3 linked regions of the Danio rerio genome follow. The protein of the gene in region 2 purifies or fractionates together with the protein of the main gene of each other region. This does not show direct contact. Links are inferred from orthologs where the notes say so. Each region holds a gene or a part of one and is shown on either strand. Other genes may lie near its edges.

The links. The genes of interacting proteins can lie anywhere in the genome.
Region 1: the proteins of atp6ap2 (region 2) and atp6v1ab purify together in Homo sapiens (co-immunoprecipitation; 3 studies listed by BioGRID and IntAct, with this or other methods). This does not show direct contact. The link is inferred for Danio rerio from reciprocal best matches to the Homo sapiens genes ATP6AP2 and ATP6V1A.
Region 3: the proteins of atp6ap2 (region 2) and atp6ap1a purify together in Homo sapiens (affinity purification with mass spectrometry; 5 studies listed by BioGRID and IntAct, counting the BioPlex papers as one, with this or other methods). This does not show direct contact. The link is inferred for Danio rerio from reciprocal best matches to the Homo sapiens genes ATP6AP2 and ATP6AP1.

What each region holds. Positions count from the first base shown.
Region 1 is NC_133199.1:25,049,872-25,053,631, forward strand, and holds the start of atp6v1ab (V-type proton ATPase catalytic subunit A), read right to left. Parts: upstream 2,497-3,760; 5' UTR 2,435-2,496; intron 1,093-2,434; 5' UTR 1,082-1,092; coding exon 1,000-1,081; intron 145-999; coding exon 16-144; intron 1-15. UniProt on the Homo sapiens protein: Catalytic subunit of the V1 complex of vacuolar(H+)-ATPase (V-ATPase), a multisubunit enzyme composed of a peripheral complex (V1) that hydrolyzes ATP and a membrane integral complex (V0) that translocates protons.
Region 2 is NC_133197.1:10,778,607-10,782,266, forward strand, and holds part of atp6ap2 (renin receptor), read right to left. Parts: intron 3,345-3,660; coding exon 3,207-3,344; intron 2,961-3,206; coding exon 2,907-2,960; intron 237-2,906; coding exon 87-236; intron 1-86. UniProt on the Homo sapiens protein: Multifunctional protein which functions as a renin, prorenin cellular receptor and is involved in the assembly of the lysosomal proton-transporting V-type ATPase (V-ATPase) and the acidification of the endo-lysosomal system.
Region 3 is NC_133198.1:4,945,328-4,949,087, forward strand, and holds the start of atp6ap1a (ATPase H+ transporting accessory protein 1a precursor), read right to left. Parts: upstream 2,537-3,760; 5' UTR 2,493-2,536; coding exon 2,374-2,492; intron 1,877-2,373; coding exon 1,750-1,876; intron 255-1,749; coding exon 180-254; intron 1-179. UniProt on the Homo sapiens protein: Accessory subunit of the proton-transporting vacuolar (V)-ATPase protein pump, which is required for luminal acidification of secretory vesicles.

The sequences.
Region 1 (3,760 bases), on a different chromosome or scaffold from region 2:
TAATAAATAGGATACATGTCTCCTCATAGACCTGAATGGTGGCCATATCACCCTCCAGTCTAATGATCTCTCCCACAAGCTCACTGTGACCCACTCGCACCAGCTCGTACATAGCAGCTCCTGCCATACTGGAGGCTGTCACCACTGTAACACAAGTAGAAGAATTGTGACAATTAGTGGAACCTGTACTATGAATGACTCGAAGATTCAAATAAACTTCAATAAATGATGGGTTTGAAAAAATATTATAATAAAAATGTTCATCAGAAGTGTCATATTAATCCATTCATTCATTCATTTTCTTTTCGGCTTAGTCTCTTTATTAATCTGGGTCGCCACAGTGGAATGAACCGCCAACTTATCCAGACCATGTTTTATGCAGCAAATGCCTTTCCAGCCGCAACCCATCTCTGGGAAACATCCACACACAACTATTCACACACATCCACTATGGACAATTTAGCCAACACAATTCACCTAAACCAAATGTTTTTGGACTTGTGGGGGAAACCGGAGCACCCAGAGTCATACTAATCCAACAAAACTAAAATTAAAAATAAACAAATCATTAAATCTGGTGACATTAAAAAATTATTAAAAAGAGAAAAATAAACAAAAATTTAAAAACAAAACAAAAAACTCTACTATATAAAAATAGACACCCTATCAACATAATATCCCAACAAAATTAAACAATAATATAGAATAAAATGCAAAGATTCGGGTATACTTAATAAAAACCTAACAAGGAAAAAGTATGGTCACATTAATTAAATTAAATCTTTAGGAAAAAAAATAAAATTAACAAAAAATAATTAACAGCTTTGGTCACATATTAACAAAAAAAAAAGAGGAAATAAAAAAGGAAACAATAGAGAAAAATAAAATTAAAAGCTTTAAATATTAAAAACATAAAATGAAAAAAAAATGTAAAAAAAAAAAACTCATGGTAACCTATTAATTAAAATCAAATATTATGACATTTTTATTTGTACTAACCAGGTCCAGATACACCATGCACATATCCAAATTGTCCCTCCCGCTCCTCATCTCGGATTTTGGCCAACTTGGAGAAGTCCATTTTTAATGTGTCTGATATGAAATTATACAAAACGTGGAAAGATAAAGCAGATGATTATTTGGATTACTTTCTGTACCTAATATTACACTTCCTAGACCTATAAGCTCCACGTGGTTGTTGTATTTATCCCTATTCCTATATAGTGGTATAAACATAGCTATAATTTAAAATTATGTTTCTGTTACATTTTCTGTTACACGTTAAGTCATATAAAATGCAAAAGGAAACCAAATGTTTAACAGCCAATTTATATTATAAAGCATTCCATACAAGTCTAACATGAAACTCAGTCACATGACCAGCAGCACATGACACTGACTGACTGTAAAAAAAGAAATCATGGTGAGGAAGTAGGAAAAACTGTTGAGTAAATGTGGATAACATTATATTTTGTAGTCCCGAATTTAAATTAAAATTGATCAAATCATTTATAGTTAACAGACAACTAACTATCCCACAAAGACTAGAATAAAACGCATGACGTTGACAATATCATCCATAAAAATAGCCATTACTGGTTATTAAAAGCCTCATGAGGAACCAGTGGAACTTCCATGTTTTTGTGAATTTACAATCACATGATGCTCATATGAGATTTTTGATTAAGAGAGACAATTCGTTTATTTAGTGTAAAACTTTGCTTTTGCCTGTTTGGGTGTTGGTTTACAGACAATTTTAGCATATGTGAGTTAGTCAGCAAACCTAGCGTGTTGTTGTTAATTGGAAAGCAGCAGATAAATATTCTAAGCGGGCAACTACATATCTCAGTGCCCAAATAGAATCTTTTCAAAGTCAAAAACGACAAGATTAAACATAACATATTATTAAATATACATTATTTCAGTGTATTACATATTTTTAATGCTTGCCGCTTTAGGAGATCGATCTGTAAAGAGATGCTGCATGATCACATGATCGCGATGCTGCGATAGAATTTGACCTTTGCTGAAATCTTTGCTCATTTTTCGTGTCCCGTTAGTTAAACCGATTGATCTCACAGGTTTGTAAGCATTTCAAATCTCTTTATATACAATATATTTAAATATTTCAGCAATCGGAGTAGGATTATTCCCAATGCTGCAATAAAAACAAACATGTAATAACGTTAAGCAAACAGAATGAGCTGCACGCTGAGGCGAAGCGGACATTCAGATCGACACAGAACACAATTATACACTACATACAGCAGTATAATGAGCTGTTTATGAATGTTATGGATTATGAATGGCTGCAAAGAGAATGGGGAAAATCCTAACGTTAGTCCTATTTTTTGGCTGGCTAATCTAAATGTACATTTCTGCAATAGCGCAACAGCGTGAAAATGTTATGGTTGTCCAAAAAAAGAGTAAATACCTCAGATGATGAGACAGTCTGGGTCCTTTAGTGAGATGAAACGTGAGCAGCAATGAAAAGTCAGCTGACTTCATTCAGTCGGTCCAGTCCAGTTGTGAGATGACGTCACAGCCTGTCTCCCTATGCAGGGTCAAAGGTCAACTGCGCGTGCGTGAAACTCTACATTGCCCCCTAGTGTGTGTGGAAAAATAGTGCTGTGAAGGTGGTTCAGCATTTATGCATGCATTAATCCCTTCTTTATTAACCATTACTAGACTCAAATAATTAAAATTTTGTTTCAAATTGAGTTTTAAAAATACCTATTTAACAAGTCCTTGATTTTTTTTCTCATATTTACACATTTTGTAAATGCAAGTTTTAATATATATATTTAAAATAAAGTATAAAAAATGAAACAAAAAATTAAAGGATATTGTAAGCATATGTTAAATTAATTTAGTAAAGATACAGATCTTCTAAATAATGTTACCCATTTCAGTATTATCACTAGAGGAAAGAATAAGAAAACTTAAACAATAATCCAAGAAACTCAACAGGGACTGTGCTGTGGCTTTTATAAATAACAGAGACATGGACGATTACACAAATACACTTTTTTATGGAAAGGATGAAAAATTTAATAGGGTACAATATTTACTATTAGGGCGGCACTATGGCTCAATGGTTAGCACTGTCGCCTCACAGCAAAAAGGTCAGTGGTTTGAGTCCCAGCTGGGCCATTTGGCATTCTGTGTGGAGTTTGCATGTTCTCCCTGTGTTGGAGAGGGTTTCCTCTGGGTGCTCTGATTTCTCCCACAGTTCAAAGACATGCGCTATAGGTCAATAGGATGAACTAAATTGACCATAGTGGATGTGTGTGAATGGGTGTGTGTGGGTGTTTCCCAGTACTGAGTTGGAGTTGGAAGGAAATCCATTGTGTGAAACATATGCTGGGTAAGTTGTCAGTTCATTCCACTGTGGCAACCCCTGATGAGTAAAGGGACTAGCTGAAGGTAAATTAATGAATGAACTCACAAGTAACATGTTTGAGGTAACAGAAATGTCCATTTAAAAAAGTAGTGGAGATAATGCTTAACCAAAAAGAGAGAAATTGCTGCAAAATATAACATGAAAATGGAAACCAGAGAGCGTACGTTTGAATCTAGTGTAATTCACATACTTTGATCTTCTCATATGGACAGTACAAATACAGTGTATTTCACACCAACAAATCTTGTTTCCCTTCAATCTGTCATTTAAATTTGATTCTCCTTCCACACTTCCTTCCCATCGCTTGCTCTTCTCTCAACTCAGCTCACTTTGAAAGATCAAGTCAAAAGACAAATG
Region 2 (3,660 bases):
AGGGTGAGAGAGTGAGTGAATTTAGATTTTTGGGTGAACAATCCTGCTAAATAATTCAGTAAATTTCCTATGTAGTAACATCATACCTTCTGCAGAGCAATTGTAAGGATCCTAATGGCGTCGGTGTACTGAGGTGAGTCTGTGCCGTAGCGGCGAACAATCTCCTCCAGTCCCGCCAGCTCCAGAGAGTAAAGATCAGGAGCAGGATCTTTAGCCAGATGCTTGTGTTTCTGCAACTGTAGCAAACGAACAGTTCAAACAACACAGAAACGATCAATCCTCAGTGGAAATATCAGCACAATTCTTTTTATACTTTAAAACTGCCACTGTCATTTTATTTAATTATAGATTTGATTTAGAGATTCTTTTAAACAATTTTCAAAGGAATTAGTTGGAAAAACTTTACAAGAAGATTGCATTTACTAATGAACATTCGGTTGGTAGTTTGTTAACTCCCGACTAACTAATGTTAACAAACATAAATTTGGATTTTAATAACACTGGTAAATGTTGATCAATATTAAAGAAATGCTGTGGCAAAGTATCTTTCATTTTAATGCTGGGTTTACATAAAGTCTGGAGCAGCGCATCATAGCTCTAGTTTACTCACGGGATGTTTCTCCTCACACAAATTTTTCACTTAATATCAATTATTCAAACATGTTGAAACGATGCAATTGAGGTGAATTCCACACATTTGCAGCAAACGCATCAGTCATTCTGCATTATTCGCACTACGTGGCAGTAATTTACCTTTAATCGCGTTTACAAATTTTTTTTACGTAATTTACTTGTGCGAAAAGTAATTCCGCCATTGATGTGAAACCAGCATTAGTTCATGTTAGTAAATACATTAACTAATCTAACCTTATTGTAAAGTGTGAGCAAACAGTTGATGTACTATGAGATTTCTATAGACAAAACAACACAAAGAGGTCCTACAAAAATCCGGCTACATCAAATAATGAAGAAAATGTTGACATTTTTTCTAGGGCTGTGCGATTATTTGAAATCGTTTCGAAATCGCACATTTGTGCAATTTCTAAATTTGCCTAACAGTCCTCAACCACCAGGCCCCAGACCGGTACCGGACATTGAATCAATTGGTTTTGGACCACAAAGAAATCATTAATTATTTCTGTTTTATGTATTATCTGAGTCTGAACAATCTTTTATTTTGAAAAATCACTGTATTCTCTCTGTAACTTGAGTGCCCCAAATTTAACCCATAAGCAGCAAAATGAGTAAGAAACAGACGTCTTTGGAAAGCTTTTTGCGAAGGGGAAATGCCCAGGGAAGGACTCACAAACTCGCACCGCGAGTCACGTGACAAGAGCTGACCCTTCAGCTTGTATGGAACATACAAATTTTAGTGGACTAATTATCTTAGACAAACACAGAACAGCCAAACACTGCAGTGCTTTATAATTTTCTCCATAAATAAAACTTGTATCAAAGCGACAGCTTGTCATCCTCTGAGAAAACAATTGGTTGCCTAGCAACCTATGAACCTTTGACAACCCAACACCAAACTGATATACTGAAAAGTGTATATTCCACACAAAGTATAAAGCCGATCGGTTGATCATTCTGAAAGTAAAGATGTTTTCAACCTGGTGTGCATGGAATATGTGCGCGCGTCACTTCCGATATTCGCGCAAGCCGTGCGCCTCCATTGGAAATAAGGAACTTGTGCGCTTAAAAGTCACGATATGCGAACATCCTGTTTCATGGCAGCATCACAAAGAGGTCTATGATCTATTAGGGTTGTGTGATTTGGGGAAAAGATCTAAATGCGTTTTTTTTTTTTTTTGACAAATATTGCGATTGCAATTAGATTTGCGATTTAATTTTGTAGTCAAGCTTCACCTCAATAATCTGTAGGCCGTGGCAACAATTCTGCGACAGCTCCTACAAATGTTTTTATTCGGTGTGTGTGAGTTTTAAACTAAAATATTCTCATATTACCAGTGCTGTTTCTCTTTTTCATATCAATTCATCTATTAATTCCTCTGAAGTAGCAGATGCTATAATCACACTTGTCCGTGCTTTCCTGTTTGTTTGTTTGTTTTTTTATTGTAGGCGTTCTGCATAGTTCAACTGCGCAATTTTGATTGGGCAGAACAAACTGCTCACTCAACTGGCTAGTAAGACTGTCACACGCAGACCGCAGTCACGCATTTGCTCTGGGTTAGGGAACTTAAATAATACATAATTTATATCGCAGCCTCTTGCGATTTAACCAATTGCGATTCCGATTTGATTAATCATACAGCCCTATGACCTATGCATGGCAAAAACAAATCTGTGGACTCGTAGAAAAGTAGACGCAACTACCTTAAACATGTGGTCAGACAGAACATCGGACCCTTACTTTTAATTAACGGCACACACACACACACACACAGTAGTCTATTTATTTGTATTGCCATAGGTCTGTTCTAAAGCCAACTTGTTAAACCATCACAATGTGATTTCAATTTTTTTGCCTTGTGTCTATTTTAGAGGCATGTTACAGGTCTTTGATAAAGATCTAATTGTTTTCCTTTGGAAATATGTTTCAGAATCACATGTCTGTGTGTGTCAAAATTGTGATTAAAATCGAAATCGCAATATTGTTCAAGAAAATCGTGATAGGTTTCTTCTGCTCATATCGCCCAACCCTAATTTTGTCCCAACTGGAAAGACGGAACTAAGGAAAAAAAACTAAGAAATGAAACCTAATTTATACGATACCATAACTTATACGATATCCAAACACAAATAACAACAAAAATCAGATCATATAAGATCTTCAAATTTAGTCAACGATAAATATACTAAAATTCATGTAGGAGACTGCCTGTTTAAAACAGTTCCCTTAAAATATTCTCACAAACGTTATAATATGTTGTAGTGAAACTCACCAGAGCTGAGATGTCATACAGCACCTGAACCTCAGAGAGGAACAGAAGATCAGCCTGAAACACACACACACATTTATATTTAGACCAGCATGTAGTTTGGTGTGGGAAAACAAACCCAACATGCACGTTCTGAACACGGTTTCAATCTGTAACAAGTACTTTCACATATCAATAAATAAAGTCAGAGAAAGCCATTTCCTACTTCAGCCTAAAAACAGTTCATGTCTGGATAGCTATGTATATATACACTGCATAGTCTAAAAAATAAACTGATGCTGAAATACTTGAGCACGCGTTTACCTCATTGTTGCGGCTGAGAGAGACGAGAGGAAGGGACGTGAGAACGGATCCGTCCTGAGACAGACGTCCACGAATCTGCTGCAGAGTGACAGGAAGATCCTCAAAAACTGTGTTGGCCATTCCCATCATATACAGCCTCTGAAAGACAAAAATCAAGACTTCTTTCAATATTAGACACTGAAAGCAAATGTTCTAGGTTTAATACATGGTATTTTATCATGTTTTTATAGTTTGTTAGAATTACCGCAACAAATGAGTAATCATTCATCATTGTAATCATTTTTGCCATTTTACACACTGATATTTGATTTATTTATTTTCAATATAAAAACAGATGCCTGACAAGTAATATGATAAAGAATACATAATAAAATTAAGTAACACTTTAATAACAATTCACAATATTAAGTACTGGCATTTTACTTGCTTATTATTAAGATATTATTTAAAGATA
Region 3 (3,760 bases), on a different chromosome or scaffold from region 2:
AAAGTACCTTAAAAAATATATTTTTTTTCAATTTTTTTTTACAGCAGTTCAAGTTAAGTCATTTTAAGAAAAGAAAAACAGCCAAATATTTTTTTACAGATGTATCATAATGCGTGTGAATGTGTGCGAATCATTAGCAGTATTTCAAAAATTGACAGATGGAAAACACAGAAACGTACCTCAAGATTCTGGAAGACACTATCCTGTTTGTTTCCAAATACTCCTCCATACATTGTAAAGTCATCAACACTCAACTGAATGAAACAGAGACAACATTCACCAAAATAAAACTGTAGTCTCACTTGAATTTTTGAAGCACATAGTAGTAGCATTGCCAATGCCTTTAAAAACATTTCTTCTGCCAGAGTTTCTAATAGTGCAGTATTCAGAAATGCATAATGTTGTGTGTTTTTTTAAATGCAGTGTATGACGGAATCATATGACACATTATCATTAAGTGAAAATAAAGGAACATTCGTTTATTTTGCTTCTTTAGCTTAGTCTATTCCTATTCCTGTTAACTATTTCAGTATTTTTTTAATGCAGTGGGTACCCTGCCAGCCAGAACCCAGTATTGAGAAACACCCATACATTCATTCACACACACATACATACACTACGTCCAATTTTGTTTACTCAATTCACCTATAGCACGTCTTTGGGTTTTGGGGGAAACCAGAGCACCCGGAAACCCACGCAAACATGGGGAGAACATGCAAACTCCACACAGAAATACCAACTGACCATGCCACCAATATAGGAATATTTGAAATTCGACTTATTGCATATTTTTATTGTATTTTATCAACATGTGGTAATGCCCTGGCATGCTTTAGTAATCACTCATCATTGAAAGACATGACTGAATTATTCATATGAGAATAAAGTCATTATTTGAAATAAATGACATTTATGGCTGTACAATGACAATACATATCGAATGGACAAAATAAAAAGTCTATCATCTCATATTATGCTCTGCTATTTATTTCGTGGTGCCACAAAATGCATTGTTTACAGTAATACTTTTTTATAACTTATATGATTATTTAAATTACGTAATTTATAAGCAATATTACATGCCATGTGGCACCACGGTGGCGCAGTGATTAGCACGATCGCCTCACAGCAAGAAGGTCATTGGTTCGAGCCCCAGCTGGGTCAGTTGGCATTTCTGTGTGGAGTTTGCATGTTCTCCTTGTGTTCGCGTGGGTTTCCTCTGGGTGCTCTAGGTTCCTCCACAGTCCAAAGACATGCAGTATAGGTGAACTGAATAAGCTGGATGATTCCCAGCTTTGTGTTGCGGCTGGAAGGGCATTTGCTGCATAAAACATATGCTGGATAAGTTGTCGAATTATTCTGCTGTGGTGACCACTAATTAATAAAGGGACTAAGCCGGAAAAAAAAAGAATGAATTACATGTCAATACGGGAATGCAGACAGAAACATGAATAACTGTATTGCGAGAAAGTTGTAATCTTGAAAGTACTATATTTACATTGTGCATTTTATTTCGCAACATATTTTATGTTGGACATGTAATCATTCATTTTTTAAAAAGTATTATATTTGATCAATATCTATTTAAAATTTCTATAAATTTAATCAAACATTTGCCCGGAATGTCTAAATAAATGAACAAATGAGTCAATTTCTGAGTATATACTTTCTACAGTCTTTTACATCTCCTTTTATAATACTGATATAAAAAAAATTATATTTTTGTGTAATGTGTAATGTAGTGTTTACTTTATCCTGCAGGAAGAGCAGTAGATTATGAGGTGTTGCGCTCAAAGCTGTGTTCAGGTATGATTCCAGCTCATCCATAGACACAGTGTGACCTGCTGACGGCGCGTTCACAGGAGACAAGACAAACCTACACAAGCACAAACTACTGTAAGAAGACAGGCCTAGAAAAAACGCATGCCATGATTATACTACAACTGCATATTATGGTTATCTTGAACCAAATATGTAATACTGTTCAGCTTTTACAAAAATCCCCCAATAAGGGCTAAAGCCAGCTGCCAATGAACCCCTTTCCAATACATCTATTTATAACAATCAAACGGAGATTACGTGTTTTTTTCCCCAACTAAACCTTTTAACCAAGTTTTTTTTTTTTACCAACATAACATTACCACACAAGTGACAGTCCTCAACAATATAGTATATATATATACATAAATATCGAGATAAATTAGTAAATGACTCAGACTGTTCGATGATTCAAACGTTTAAGCTCATACTAAATGTGTTCCTCATGTTTTCAGAACTGGACAGCGACCGCGTCATTCAGCTAGCAAAGCATGAAAGCTAACCATCGCTTTCACGATTCTCCGTGACTGTACTCTTATAACATGCGTCCTTTACCCGTCACTCGCCCATGCGACCAGCGGGACTTGTTCATCACTCTTCGCTGCTGCGAACAAACAGATAAAAACGTGTAAAATCATCCTGGCGTTGACGCAGACTCTCCCTACAGCAGCCATCTTCAGTGCGATAAGCCCTGACGTCACAACCGGCCATCTTCAGCGGCGGAGCCGTGATGTCACGACCGCGTGATGAGATGAATTTGTAATCTGTTTTAAAAACGCTACTTTATGCATTGCTGTTTGTTTTATTCTTAAATGTAAACAGACACAGCATGACTTGTTTAGTAATGTTTTTTGATTTTATTTAGCCAGTTATAAAACCAATGATAAAATATTGATGGCTTGCTTTGTCTTACCTTAAAAGAAATAGTAGGCCTGTGTGAGTATGTTAAATAGCAAATTTCCAAATAATGTTTAAAGGGAAAAAAGAAGTATATATATATATATATATATATATATATATATATATATATATATATATATATATATATATATATATATGTGTGTGTGTGTGTATGTATGTATATATATATATATATATATATATATATATATATATATATATATATATATATATATATATATATATATATATAATGTTAAAGAGGAGAAAAGGAAGTAAATATATATCTATTATGTTGAAATAATCATCTCTCTGGTGACATCATTTGACCTTCTTTCTATTTCCTGGAGATCTACAAATAAAATCTCATTGTAACTCTACTTTCACTTTTAAATTATAGTCATTTTGTCATGATTTCATGTGAAGCTTTTAGTTCTGGTGGTGTGACATTTAATCCTTAAGGAATTGTTGAAAATAACTATATGCACACACACACACAGACACACACACACACATGAACGCACGCACACACACAATATTTCATGTACTGATGCTACTAGTGTAATTAATCATCATAAGTTAATCTAATTGAATAATTTGCTGACATTGATCAAAAATCAAGTATGAATGCTTTCTTTAAAGGTCGCTTTATCAATTCACTCCAACAATTCATCCCACAGATAAGCAGCAGTAAGAAAACTTTTATTCAGATTTTCCATTGTCCATTCCATTCACATTTTCATCACATAATTTATAAATAAATCACAGTTTGGCCAGCTTTCATTTTTATTATACATTTTTAGAAATAGCTTCAGGTGTGTATTTCTTCCTAAAAATGTATTTTACAAAATAATAATACATTTGACTTGCTTTTTAGTCTAGGTCAATGCATCTTTTTGTTGATGTAGGAGTAGTTTTGATTTTGTATCATAGTACATCACTATATGTTTTCTCTGTCCCACACTGGCAAGCTAAAATTACAAAATGTGTTGTCAGATATAAAATGCATAGGTACACCTGAGAAAAAAACTGATTAAGGTTT